Macaca mulatta: one gene and its partner. The protein of the gene in region 1 interacts with the protein of each later gene in a biochemical or structural test. Links are inferred from orthologs where the notes say so. Each region holds a gene or a part of one and is shown on either strand. Other genes may lie near its edges.

Evidence for each region. The genes of interacting proteins can lie anywhere in the genome.
Region 2: the proteins of FGFR2 (region 1) and FGF10 are reported together in a solved structure, tested with the Homo sapiens proteins (3 studies listed by BioGRID and IntAct, with this or other methods). The link is inferred for Macaca mulatta from reciprocal best matches to the Homo sapiens genes FGFR2 and FGF10.

Annotation. Positions count from the first base shown.
Region 1 is NC_133414.1:133,686,001-133,693,079, forward strand, and holds the start of FGFR2 (fibroblast growth factor receptor 2), read right to left. Parts: upstream 3,746-7,079; 5' UTR 3,263-3,745; intron 1,865-3,262; exon of another isoform or gene 1,754-1,864; intron 93-1,753; exon of another isoform or gene 1-92. UniProt on the Homo sapiens protein: Tyrosine-protein kinase that acts as a cell-surface receptor for fibroblast growth factors and plays an essential role in the regulation of cell proliferation, differentiation, migration and apoptosis, and in the regulation of embryonic development.
Region 2 is NC_133411.1:45,619,554-45,626,022, reverse strand, and holds part of FGF10 (fibroblast growth factor 10 precursor), read left to right. Parts: intron 1-3,520; coding exon 3,521-3,624; intron 3,625-6,469. UniProt on the Homo sapiens protein: Plays an important role in the regulation of embryonic development, cell proliferation and cell differentiation. Required for normal branching morphogenesis. May play a role in wound healing.

The DNA.
Region 1 (7,079 bases):
GCCTGAATTCCCTTCCCCTGTGACTAAATGGCAGTCCAGGGCTGCTAAATGTCTTCAACCTCTGTAGAAGGGTTAGGAAACTGAGCAGATGCAAATTCTGATGAATTATGCAGGAATTTATTAATAATGATGATGTAAATTATGTAAATTTTAGTCATAGTATGTGATTGGACCAATAACTTTCAATATGCAAACCTATTGGCTAAATTTTCAGAGTATAAGTTAGAAGAGGACACTCAGCTTACTATTCTATTCACCCATTTGATCCAAGGGAAAGAGAATTTTCCAAGAAAGCTTAATACATTCCAAGCAACTTTAAATTCACTCAGTACCCTCTGTGACTAAGGGTAGAGTCAAAATGCACAAACTTTACAGAATGATTAAAACAATCACAAGAAAGGGCACATCAATCTCAGGCTTCAGATTCTGTGAACCGCAGGAATGAACCACATTTTCTAACATTGGGGGTGGAGGGAGGCCTTTAATACAAAAATTTCTAAACTCTACATTTTTTATGTACCCACTCGATGTTTCAAGTTATGACATAGGATTTCAACACTGCTGGAGCCTCCCAAAATCTTATCATAAAAACTGCTCCTTTTAGCTTTGACTGAGGATAAAAATGGATGAGGGAAAAGAATATACCACATCATTTCCAAAGGAGGAATAAAGAAAACCTCAGCTTCAAAGATAGCACAGGTGAAACGGCATGATTCGCAGCAAAAACAAGAAATGTGTGCAGTTGTGTGTGTCCACGGTGTGTGTGCGTGCATGGTGTGTGTGTGTGCATGTGTTTTCAGATAGCTTGAAAGATTTTTCCTCCTAACTTTTCTTTCCTCTTAATCAAGAGCCTCAAAAGATAATTTCGGATCTATTTCTACACATATGTGGGAGGAAAGTACACAAACATTCTCATTGATTTACTAAGCATTTCCAGAATGCAGGGGAATTTTCTACCTCTAACACGCCTTCAGGAACAATCCTAAGTCCTCGCAGAGGTTTCGCCCCAGGCTCCTTCCCCAGCCTGCTCCCCTACCTGTCCCTAACCAGAGGAGCCTCCTTGGCTCCAGGCAGAGAAAGGTGGACAGGGCTCTCCGCTGAATCTCAAGCCATTCCATCATCCTGCTAGCTTGCACTAGAAATTTGCATTTCAGCCATTTCCAGGTCCAAGCCCCACAGCAGCCCCCTCCCCAAAACTCTGGAAGGCGGGGACCTAAGGCGACAGGTCTGCACAGTTCCTCACCCAAGTGGACAAAAGTATGGTGCGACCTCCTAGGCAGGATAATTAGGTCCCCAGGCTCGGTGTTGGGAACACAGGCCCAGCATGCCGCTGGCGGCCACAATCCCGGCTTCCTGCCTTCAATACCATAATCCTTCCTGGAGTCTGAGCCCCAGTGAAAGCCCCAGCGTGTTTATTTTTCCCCTTGAAAGGGAACTCTCTTCTCAGCCTGCACGCGGGAGGAGTTGTCACCCTCCCTCTGATGGATGGCTCTTCTCGGCCGCCCGCCCCCCCCCCCCGGTCCATTTTCACCTCGGCACAAGCCTGCCCCCAAAGACAGGCAGAGTGACAAGCAGGAAGGGCTTGGCTGCGGAGTGGTCCCCATGCCAGGCCTGTGCTGGGCTCTTCAATTTACCATGACATTCCCAAAACCCCGGCCCTCCAAGAAGGCAGATCAATACAATGCCCTCCGCTTTGGGCTTCCACCTAAGGGGTGATCTGTCGACACACTGCTGGCTCGGCCACCGGGAGCACCTGGCGTTTTCTTCCTAGGTAGATTTCACATCAGGAAAGTCAACAGTGCCCGGCTCCTCCAAAGTGCAGACCCATCTCTTCGCTTAAGGCCTCCCTACTTCTCCCCAGCACTGAGTAGGAGCGGGAGCTGTCAAGGGGTCAAGTCTGGGCGGGAAATTCCTCAACAAATTGAAATCTCAAAACACACACACTGACTCAGGACCACAATGCCCTCCCAGTTTAATGCTTGCGTCCAATCAGAACTTGCGAGCAGCTTGGGGGTGCTCCTCACCACCACCCCCTTTCAGGGCAGCACTTCTTTCATTTGTTTGCCTGAAATATCCTGTTTTTCTCCCCCTTCTCGGGGCGCTAAAGAGCTCAGAGAAATCTGCATTTTAATTGACATTCCAGGGAAAGGGAGAGGGGCGCCTGATTGCTTTTCTATTCAAACTAAACAGGCTTTTCAGATGAAAATGAGTCGAGCCCGGTGGAAGATTTACAGGGATTTGGGACCAGGGGGACAATGGAGTTTTAAATGTTGATAGCGTTTCACACCAAACACATAATGGGTGCCCTGAGTTTGAAAGCAGGTTTGCCTTTAAGGGTAGGTTTTATTGTATTGGGCGAAAAGAAGGAGGGTCTGGAGAACGATCTGCAAGGGAATGGGGTGCGAGGAGAGCGACGGAGGCTGGTGCCCCCGGGCCGGCCTCCTGCGCCAGGTTCGCGGTCCGCGAGGGTCGGAGCCAGCGCCACGCAGGGCCCTCGGCTGATTTCCCCAGCGCGGCCCCGTCGCCGAAAGAATGAGCAAGAATGAGCGCGCAAGTTAGAACTCGCCTGCGCTTTCGACATCTCCCAGCCGCTGCGGCAGAGCAAGCAGACGAACTAGAAAAAGTCGGTCCAGTTCGCCCCCTAGCCCCAGGCGCGCTGCGCTCCCTCCAGCGCCGACGGCGGCTGTGGGCGAGGGGCGCCCCGGCACCGAAAACCGGGCACTGGAGCCGTCGCCTCCCCAACAGTGCCACCCTTGACCATCGCCACCCCTACGGGATGTCACCGGCCCCACCCCAGCGGCCCCCTCCCGAAAAACGAGTCTCCGTGGGGCCTGGATGGGACGGAAGTTCCCAGGACCCACGGATGGAGCACCTCAGAGATGCCCCCTGGGACCCGGCCTGCGGGGCTGTGCCACGGGCAGGCGAACCTTCGGCCAGTCTGCTCTGGGGTCGGAGAAACGTGCCCAGTCAGCGGGAATGCGCCCGCCAGGGTTTGACAGGGAGGGGGGCGTCAACGCCAGAGGCAGATGTCAGCATCTGGATGGGGGTGGCAGAGGCAGAACTTCCCGAACACCGGCCGTCAGCAGGCACCCACCTCCCCCATCACCTATGCAGCCACAGAGAGAGGACACGGAGGGCCCTCCACAATGCCAGTCCTTCCGCGCCCCCCGCCCAGAGGACTGTGCACCCGGCGTCCCGGGCTCCCCTGGCGTCCACGTCCCCGACTGGGGAAGCTCCCCGAGGCGTCTTGCGCGGCGATTACCTTGAATGGCAACGCTCCTCCGCGATCTGTGTTATCCCCGCGCCCCGCGTGGGTCGGGATGGAGAAAGCGACGAGCCCGGGGTTGAGGGCAGCAACTCCAAAACGCAGAAGAGTGGTCCTTGGGTCTTCGCCGGCGCCAAGGCTCCCGGGCTTCAAGCGCACCCCAGGCTGCGGAGGAGCGCGGGCATGACGCCCGCGGGCTGCCCTCGGATTTGGGGAAGGAGAGAAAGAAAGGACTCAGGCTTGGCGTCGCCTCCACCAAACTTTGCTCTCGAGTTGCGAAGGCTCAGAGCGCGCAGGCAAGCTGCGGCCTCGGGGCCCCCGGGGCTCGCGGCCGGCCCCCGCCAGCCCGGAGAGCAGTCGCCGCGCCGGGCCAGGTACGCCGCATGCAGCCCCGCGGCGCCCGAGCTTTGTGGCGGCCGCGCGCGCTCGCTCGCCCGCTCCGCACCCGCCGCCCGCCCGCTCGGCTCTCCACCGCGCTCTCCTGCCGCCGCCGCCCGCGCCGCCGCCGCCGCCTCCGCCTCCTCGCGGCGGGTCACGCCCCCGCTGAAACCCGAGCCGTTTCCTGGACGGCGGCGCCCTCTCTGCCAATCAGCGCCGCGCGCCCGGGCCGCCCCGAGCCCCGCGCGGCTCCCGACGCCTCCGAGCTGCCGGAGACACCGGCCGGGGAGGCGAGGGCCCGGCCGCGATCCGGCCGTAGGGATGCAGCGACAGCCTCCGAATAAGGCCTGGTCCCGCGCCCCGCGCCACCTCCTCCCTCCTCCCCGGGCGAGCGAGGCTGGCCAGCGGCTCGCTGAGCGGCTGCGTTACGTTGTTTTATGTCAAGTTAGAAAACAAGTGACCAAAGGCTCTAACCCTGCCCTCCCCGTAAAGAGACTTTAAAATGCGCCTTCTTGGTACTGCGGGGAGGGTTGTCAGGCAACTGAAGCTTTTGGAGGAGAGAAAGCAACTTGGAAATGTTCGCAGGACATTGCATTTTTCTGTCCTTCTAAACAATAGAAATGAGAGGAAAAAACTGAATATTAATGGAGGACCTAGTATGTGAGGGTCACACTACATAGGTGATTCTATTTCGTCTCCCCAACCACCCTGCAGAGTACTATTCCCAGTTTCTGATAAGGAAACTAAGGATCAGAGAGGTTAAGTAATTTGCCTAGGATCACACAGCTGGCTACTAGGAGAGCCTGACCTTGAATGTGGCTCTCTCAGAAAAAGTCAAAAATTGCATCCAAAAAAAAAAGTGTTTAGTATATATGTTTGGATTAATAAAACGAAATTCAAAGGAGTCTAAAGACTCTACCATAAATAGCTGGACCTTGAACAAAGTAATTCCTCCCTCTGAATCTTAGATTCAAAATCATAAATGCAAAATCTGATTCTTCAACTGCACGCCAAGCTGTAACTGGTTAAAGTTCCTATTTCCATTCACCTTTTCACTAAGCCATGTCTTCAGAATAATTTATTTTAAATATGCTTTTTCTCCCTCCTTATTCATCCAGCTCCTGAGCAGTTGTGCTTAAGTTCAAGACATATAGATTAAAACCTTAATTATTTTTCTTTAGAAAAGGTCACTAAACCCAGAAATGCTTTAGAATCCTTTTGAGGCCTAAAGATAGATGAAGCATTGAGAACAAACCTGACTTGGAAAACAGACTTTTCCTGCATTTAGAAACGTATTTGCACCTGTGTCACTAACATTGCACACTTCATAACATTTACAAAAATATTTTTCAAGGTACCACATGATTAGAAAATCATTTTTATTCACAATATAGCACAGAAAACGTTTATACAAGTTACTTAAAAGCCATACAAGTAAGAAATCCATTTAACTGTCTCAGGCAAAAGGCTATAACATTATATTTTGGAAGTTTGATAGCAACAAAATAAAAACTGGTTCTTAAGTAAAATTATCCCTCTATATGCTTGGTAGGAGGGTATGTTTTTGGTCAAGTCCTCTAACCTGGATTAGCCCAGAGCCTGTACATTAACAGACACCTCAGCCCAGGTGACGCTTAGCCATTCACTCCCACCTGGGTTCCTCTGATAGCAGTATGTTTCAAGTTCTCAGAAAAGGGATGCAGCTGAACGCGTCTGCCTGCTCGCAGGCTGCCACTTACATCTTTATATTCCCCGCCAATGGGACACTCGAGTGTCTCAGGACAGATTCCATCCTGCACCGCATCCATCAGCCATTGAAAATGCTGTTAACACATTCTCACATAAATTAATGGTGCAGGAAGCCTCTGTCCCTATCCTCCATTCATCAATAGCTTTATGCATGTTGAGTGGAAAGGAAGCTTTCCACTGAAAATGACAAATAAGAACACCTACTTTAATGTCCAGGCACAGTTTGCAGAATGTATTTTTTATAGAGATGAAAAGACACCAATCTGTCAAAAGCTCCTTATTCCCTAAAGAGTGCTCATTTCTAAGGGACTGAAACCCACAAGTCCACAATAGCAAACTCTTCGGTTTTGAGGGAAAAAAAAAAAAAAAAGCATGTTTAGAATTATTTTCAAAAAATAATTCTGTCCCCATATTTAGTCTTCAAGTGACCTCAGACCGTCCGGGAAAACCTTCACACCAGTGAGGCTTCTGAATGAGAAAATAATCTCTTTACAGTTTTTTTTCTTTTCTCTTCCCTCTTCAAGTGGCTGGAACCCCTTTCGTCAATGGCCTCCCATGAATGGTGTTGCTAATAAAGCCTATTAATGAGCTTCCACGGCAGAGTGTGAATAGGTAAATAAGCCCCAATCTGTTGAGGTTCTGGGGCAAGGGCAGAAAAGCCAGTAAGAACTAAAGGTGACAGTTTGAACTGAACTGCGAACGCCAGCACCAGGTTTCAGCTGAAAGACCCGCCAGACAAGGACACATTCACAGTCCCTCCACCCCCTACTGAGGTCTCTTTTCTTCGCAATTTTCCCCCCTTTACAAAATGTCTTGAGTAGTCACCCTTTTTTTTTTCAAAAGCCCTCGAGACGCCCTTCTTTTTTCACTCTAGTAATGATACATCAATGGGAAGGAAGAAAAATGAGGACACCAGAACTCCGATGCCCCCAAAAGTTTCAAGAAACAAATTGTGCTGCTAGCCTGTTGGTGATGGGAAGAGAAAGGAGAAGGGGGTGGGAACACTCACTGCCACGGGCCTCTCTCCTTTGAAGATTTGGAATTCTTCTTTTAATAATTTGTTTTGTAATGGGTGGCTGTTCCTTCACTCTAAGGAAACGTTAGATGAAAATAAAGGCTGCTGACATGAAGTGCTCGTGAACCTTCCCGGGTGGATCTGAGCTCCCTGCAACACCAGGAATTTCATTCTGTAAGCTACGTCTCAATAATGCCTGCAGCATGAAAGAAGCACTCAAATGGAAGGATATAGAATAGTCAGAGGACTATGATAAGAGTATTTACTTCTGGGTAAGGGGAGAGGCTGGATCCCCTGACAGCTCCAGCCTATCTTCAGGGAGCTTGTGGCATTTAAGTGAAGCAAAATCATTGATCCCACTACTGAACAGCATCAATTATTTTAAACTTAGAACTGGGCCTGAATTCCAAAGCCGAGGCTTCCCCGGAGACAAAGTCCTTCTGGAAGTATAGCCTGTCTTTGAGACAAAGGGGAATGGCTTTCTTAAGGTGACAGGCTGGATGCAGCTTTCTGCACTCAATAGCTGTGTGACCTGTGGCCGGGCGCGGTGGCTCACACCTGTAATCCCAGCACTTTGGGAGGCCGAGGCAAGCGGATCACTGGAAGCCAGGAAGCCGAGACCAGGCTGACCAACATGGTGAAATGCCGTCTCTACAAAAAACACAAAAATTG
Region 2 (6,469 bases), on another chromosome or scaffold:
CGTGGAACCCCAGCCAGTATGACCTGCCTTTATCTTTTCCCCATAGTCCCCTTGTCATCATCTTAAGTCATCACTTACTGCCGTGTAACATGTTTTATTGTAGTTATCTGTGTATTTGTCTTTTATTCCCAATAGTACATAGACTTTTCAATAGAAAAACCATTACGTATTTGACTTTATATTTTCATTTTCTAAAAGCGTACCCTTCTCCTCCTAGGTCTTCCTAAGTGACTGAACTAAATTGTCCAAAGACCCTTAAATAGATTCACAATGCTACCTGGGCTATTCATGTTTTAAGGGATATAAAAACTAATATAGTTACAACTTAATATAGATAATAGAATTTCACTACAAGAATATGCCTATAAATTTATAAAATATCTGATTTACATGAATGGGAAATATAATTCATGTGACCTTTCATTAATAATATAATTTTCAGGTGTTTCTTTGAGTAAAAAAAACTTTTTTTTTAACTTTTAATGTTAAGATAATTGTAGTCATAAACTTGTAAGAAACACAGGGAGATCCAGTATGCCCTCAACTCACTTTCCTCCTGGAGGCTCTTTTAACTGGTGTTTAGTTTTGCTTCAAAATATACACATATAGAACTATAAGCTACTGATCCAACAATCCTCAAACAAAATTCTAGAGCCCTTTTCCAAAAATAATTTGATAGGCAAACTTGATCATCCTTACCAAATAACAGAAAAAACAGGAGTGATTCCTTATGAAAAGTAAAGAAGTTCTCTAGGCTTCAGTCCTTCAGAGCTCCCCTTTTACATTCACAGATGTTTATAAGAGGTGCAGTCATTGTCCAATACCCACAAGATGATCAAATTATAACTTACCTGACCATATGCTGTGTCCAAAAATTATTTTCAAAATTCGAAAGGATTTTAAATCACCTATGTCTTCCCTCCTTCTATTTTGAGACAATAACTAAATAATAATATAAAAATAATAGCTAAACCTTTTTAAGCTTGCCTAAACTAGTGGCAGAGTGGGAAAAAAAAAGGTTGATTGAGTCTTTGAATATTGCGCTCCTAATCAGGTAAAGCAGAAAGAAACCAAGGCGTATCTAAGCTAAATATAATCTACAATACCACATGCAGTGCATCCTCAGAAATAATTGGTCAAAAATTCAGATATATATTATACTATTACTATAGCTCAGTCTGTTAGTATAGTTTAATCCCACAATGTTGCACGCACCTTCAAATATTGGTTTATTTTTTGATTAAAATCATCCTTCATTCCTCTTTGTTCTATTAATTTTCAGTTTCAAAAGTATACATAAGGTAATATCTTGCAGTTTACTGACAGTACTTTCTTGTCTTTTAGCCAGACAATGTAAGGAACTGCCTAATCTTTTGCCCCCGAATTCTACCTCCTGCTCTGCTTTGTATTTTCTGCTTATGACATAAATAAAGTATATTAGATTTTGTTCTCTAAGATTCAGACATTATCCTCTGTGGCATGCCATCATCCTTGGGAGGAACAGCACATTAAGTCATTAAAGAAAATTATCTTGATGAGTCATTTTGTCAGATGGTTTACAACAGGATTCCCTTGTAGGAATGGGAAAGAGGAGGAAGAGATGATGGAGAGGCAACATAGTCAGAGATGGCGAGCAATAGCATCTAAAAGTCAGAGGCTTAAGTGTTAACATCCATTATTCCTGACCGTTAGCACCTTACCACCTGTGTGTGTGAGTTAAATAATCTAAGTATCTTCCTTTTTTTTTTTTTTATTTGTAATCGAGACCAACAATAGTATCCTTAGAGGGTTATTGTGTGAATTAAAATATTTTTCAGAATATGCAAATAAATGTGTGTGTGTGTGTATTTGTACGTGTGTGTATACCTTAGGGCAACTATCAGCATAAGGGAAATGGATGTAAAAAAACCACAGATAATGTCTCCTTTATCCTTCACAATCTTTCCTTGGTTTTGGCTTGCAAATAGAGTGAGATATACCTCTTTTGATGAAAAGGAGTGCTGTGTTAGGTCAGAGACTTCCTACAGATACATGGACAAAAGGGTCTCTGACATGTAGTTTTGGCAAAGTCTCTGGTTATGTCAACTTTGCAACAGGGGAAACTCAAGCATTTCTATTAGCCTCCATAAGGCTAACCCGTGAAGGAATAGGACAGAAGGTATTCATCTCTCGAGAACAAGTTAAGCCACTCTATCTCTATGGGTAGAGTGAAAACATATAATCTGTAGACAACATTGGGGATGGTGTTTCTCATGATACATGACAAATGATAATATGCTCAACTTTCAGATTTTATGTATTAAGCCAATGGGAATTTGTATGTATTGCTCAGGATTTACAAAGCCCATTGAAGAATTTCCAAAATCTGGAACTGTTGGAGAAAAACTCCCCTCTAATGATAATTAAGAAGATACTAAGGAAAATTCTAATCATTTTATAGGTACTATCTCATTTAATATTCACAACAAAATTATGAGGGAGGTACTATTATGTTGCCCATTTTGCAAATAAAATTGAGTCATGGGACACTTCAGTGACTTCTACTGTGGTAATTCACTAATAAATGTAAAGCCAGGAGTTGAACCCAGGTATTTTGGCTCCAGGAGCCACATGCTAATCACAATGCTACTTCTCTACCCTGAACAAACTGCTGAGAATTTTGAAATATGTAGTTTTAGTTCCTTAAGTCTTCTTAAACTAAAATGGGTGGGCACTTCGGGTAGACGATAAACTGCCTTCCCTATTGTGATCTACGAACTTTTCCGAGAAAATTATCTTTAGATGCAGCAATAGAAACTTGTGTATAAGGGGAAAAGGAGCTGTTGTCTACCTCTTACTACTTCCCTCAATTTTCCATTTTTCCTAGAAAAAAAAACTTTAAAAGTCCATGTTTATGGATTTTCCCCCAACACAGAGCAGTGATTCTGCTATTTCAGAGACAGTGTAAATGTTGGGATTAGTCTCTCTGTATCTCAGAATGTCAACACATTTGCCAAAAATGAATCTATCAGTTAAATGTAGCCAAGAGATTTAGTTTATCTAGATCCTACAAAGAAGAAATAGTTTACCACTGTTTTTACATATTGAGGTAATCTGACATATTATTGACATGTGCTATAGATTTAATTTAATACCATAGTACAGATATGTGCTTTGATAACTTATTTTGAAATCTAAACTGAGTGGAGTTGTTTCAATATTTATAGGGTTGAAAATGCAGAGTTAGCAAAGGAAACATTTTAATTAAAACAATATTTTTCTATGTATGCTCAGAGTAAAATGAAGGGGAATTCTTTTAAAGCCTTATTACTTTCTTCCATATATTTGCTGGAAATACTTGCTGGGTTTTAAGACACATTGAACAAGATTTGCTTGTTTGTTTACCAATGTTTTGAGCCTTTTGTTTTTAGAACCACCAAAAAAAAAAAAAAAAAAAATCTCAATAGTTTCTTTTGATTTTACTTTTCTTCCAAATAGCTTTAGGATTATTTATTTAGCTTTTACAAATTGTATGTTTTAGGCATCCTGGAGATAACATCAGTAGAAATCGGAGTTGTTGCCGTCAAAGCCATTAACAGCAACTATTACTTAGCCATGAACAAGAAGGGGAAACTCTATGGCTCAGTAAGTATTCTGCTTTTGTTTTCAAATCCACTTCAGTAAATCATTACCACAGTTTTGGAATGTTTCCTCCAGACACTGAATAGCTTTGTTATCCTTCTATTGCTAGTAAATAGAGCCACAGTGGGTCGGTCACCACTGTTTCAAGGGCTGGCCAAACAGCTCTTCCAATTCTCTAATCTCCTCTGTTGTTCACCCATTAGTCCACCACACAGGCTGCTGCTGGCATGTGTCTGTGAATGTTCTAAACTGCTAACCAAGTCAGGCTCTCACGGAAGCATCTGGTCAGATTGGCACGGGAACTGCAGACAACTTGGAGAAAAAACACTAAGAATAAAGATCTTGAACTGAGTAGAAACCCATGTATTATGTGTGTGTTATGGCTGAAGACAAAACAAGGGCTCAGATGTTTTGCATTTTGTTAAAATCTGAAATGGGGAAATGCATCAAGAGACACCATTTTGCTTGTTGTTCAGTCAACTCTAGAATTTTATTTATCTAGACAATAACCATTAATTCAAATTATGCCTCAAAATCATATATATGTATATGGGAAATATTCTTTGCAATAGGGTCCTTGTGGAGCAGATATCCCTGCAGTCCTTTGGGCACATCCATGGCTGTATTCCATACCAGGTGTTGAATATTTGGAATACCACTTCTGCAATCTTGGATCAAACTCATTTAAACCAATTTTTTAGAAATTTAAGATCTCACTTAAAATACCAAATAGTTGTTTTATAATTGCAATTGTAACAATAATTAAATTACCAGCAGTGAGACAATTTGTCCTGTTCAGGTCCTTAGAAAAAAAATGCATCAATCAATCATATCAACATCTACCATATGCCAGATACTGTTTGACATATAAAAAGATGCATAAGAAAGAAGTATAGAAATGGGCCTTGACTTCAAATAATTTATAATATATTTAGGGGAAAATGTTAACAAATATGAAATAATTACAGCATCATTGGTTGTTACATGTATGAAAGGATCAAGTATAGTAAAGCAGCCCTATGATAAAGTTGGGAACTAAGTTTCAATCTCTTAGCTGTCATTCGAATGATGACAGGGGTATATTAGTTTGTGCATGTGGATCCATCTTATTGTGTCCCTCCCATAGGTACATCAAGGGGATGCTAACTGAATTTCATTTTTTTTTCCCTCTGGATTCTACTGCAGGGGAGTGTATCGAAGGCAGCTGTAAACTTGGAAAAACTTTAACTGAATTTTTTGGAGAACATGTAATGTTACATATGGCCAGAAATAAAATCTGTGACACAAATCTCTTAAATAATTTTATATTTTTCAAAACAGATCCTGTGTCATTTTTACACTTTTATGTAATCAAAAAGGAATTTCACTTTAAATTTGTAGATAAACTTACTTTATTGATTAGCATAAGGCTGATGATAGTGACCGTTTAGAACCAGCGGCTCTCAAACTTGAGTATGCATCAGAATCACTGGAAGGGCTTATTAAAAGACAGAATAATGGTACTCACAGCCATATTTTCTGATTCAATAAGTCTGTGGTGCAGTTCAAGAATTTCCATTCCTCACATGGTCCCAGGTGTTCCTGATGCTGCTGTTGCAGTAACCACAATTTGAGAACTGCTGGTTTGGACGTAGGGTAACCTTGCGTTTTACAAATATCAGACTTTTAACTGGGGAGTCAGGCATGCTTTGAGTTGGTCCCTGGGACTAGGGTAAATGGTTTTTTTGTGTGGGGGTCAGAGGAATTTTAGTAAAATTTCTCCATTACCGTGGCTCCCCTAATGAACTCAGAGGAATACCAGACGATTATAAAAAGTGGTTCCATTTAGGGGTTCACATCATAATCACTTTTGAGGCATGTTTAATGTTTTCATTAGTTAGTCTAGACCCAACGTCTTAAAGTCAGCTAACACTAATTTAGACTAAGGAAGAAAATGTAAATAATTTTAATGAATATAAAATATTTTAAATAATTTTAATTGATAAAATATACTTATTTAAAAACATGACATCAGGGAGAAATGGATAACTTTCAAATAAACTCTGACATAAAAATATTTAATAATCTTCTTCACATTTCTCCTTTTTTCTTCTGCCCCAACACAGCTCATGGATTGTGCTTATGCTTCATCTTGAGCTCTAAGCTCTGTGAATTATTTCATTCAAATTCTTTACCTAAAGTACAGTCCAGTGGCTTTCTATTATCTTCAGTGGCACTTAGCTGAGATTTCTCTTATTAATGTGTTTTTTGTTCAGTGTCTTCTCCCAGTAGATTGTGACCTTGGAGACAGCGAGGTCAGTCTTGTCCCCCGCTATTTGTTCAGCACTTAGAACTGTACAGAGCACAGTTATACATTGCATAAACCTAACCTCTCCTGGAAGCTCAGTCAATTACAGAACATGATTTACACTTCCAGCCTGTCTCAGAAAGAAACTCATTGTCTAACCATATTAGACAATGAAGAATATTAATTCTTTTTTCTGTGACTTTACATTTCTACTAGGAATAATGAAAAATTATGGCTTGTTAAAATTAAACAAAAAATTTATTCAAGTTGAATGTTCTGCTCAGAATGGAATAGGACTAACATCAAAATTTATGAATGCATATCTAATATAATTCTGTATATTAGGTGACTACTCTTGTAATTTCTACCTTCATTTTTTTGTTTCATACAGTATCCATCGATTCCATAAGCCCTCCTAAAAATCGAATTTGGGCAAAGATTCAGATTGACTGATTAAACCAGTTTTATATCTATTCTCTTGAATGATCTTCCTCTATTTCTTTTTGGAAACTATATACCTTTCTTATATTTTCATTATTCGTTATCAAAGCAATGTATCTA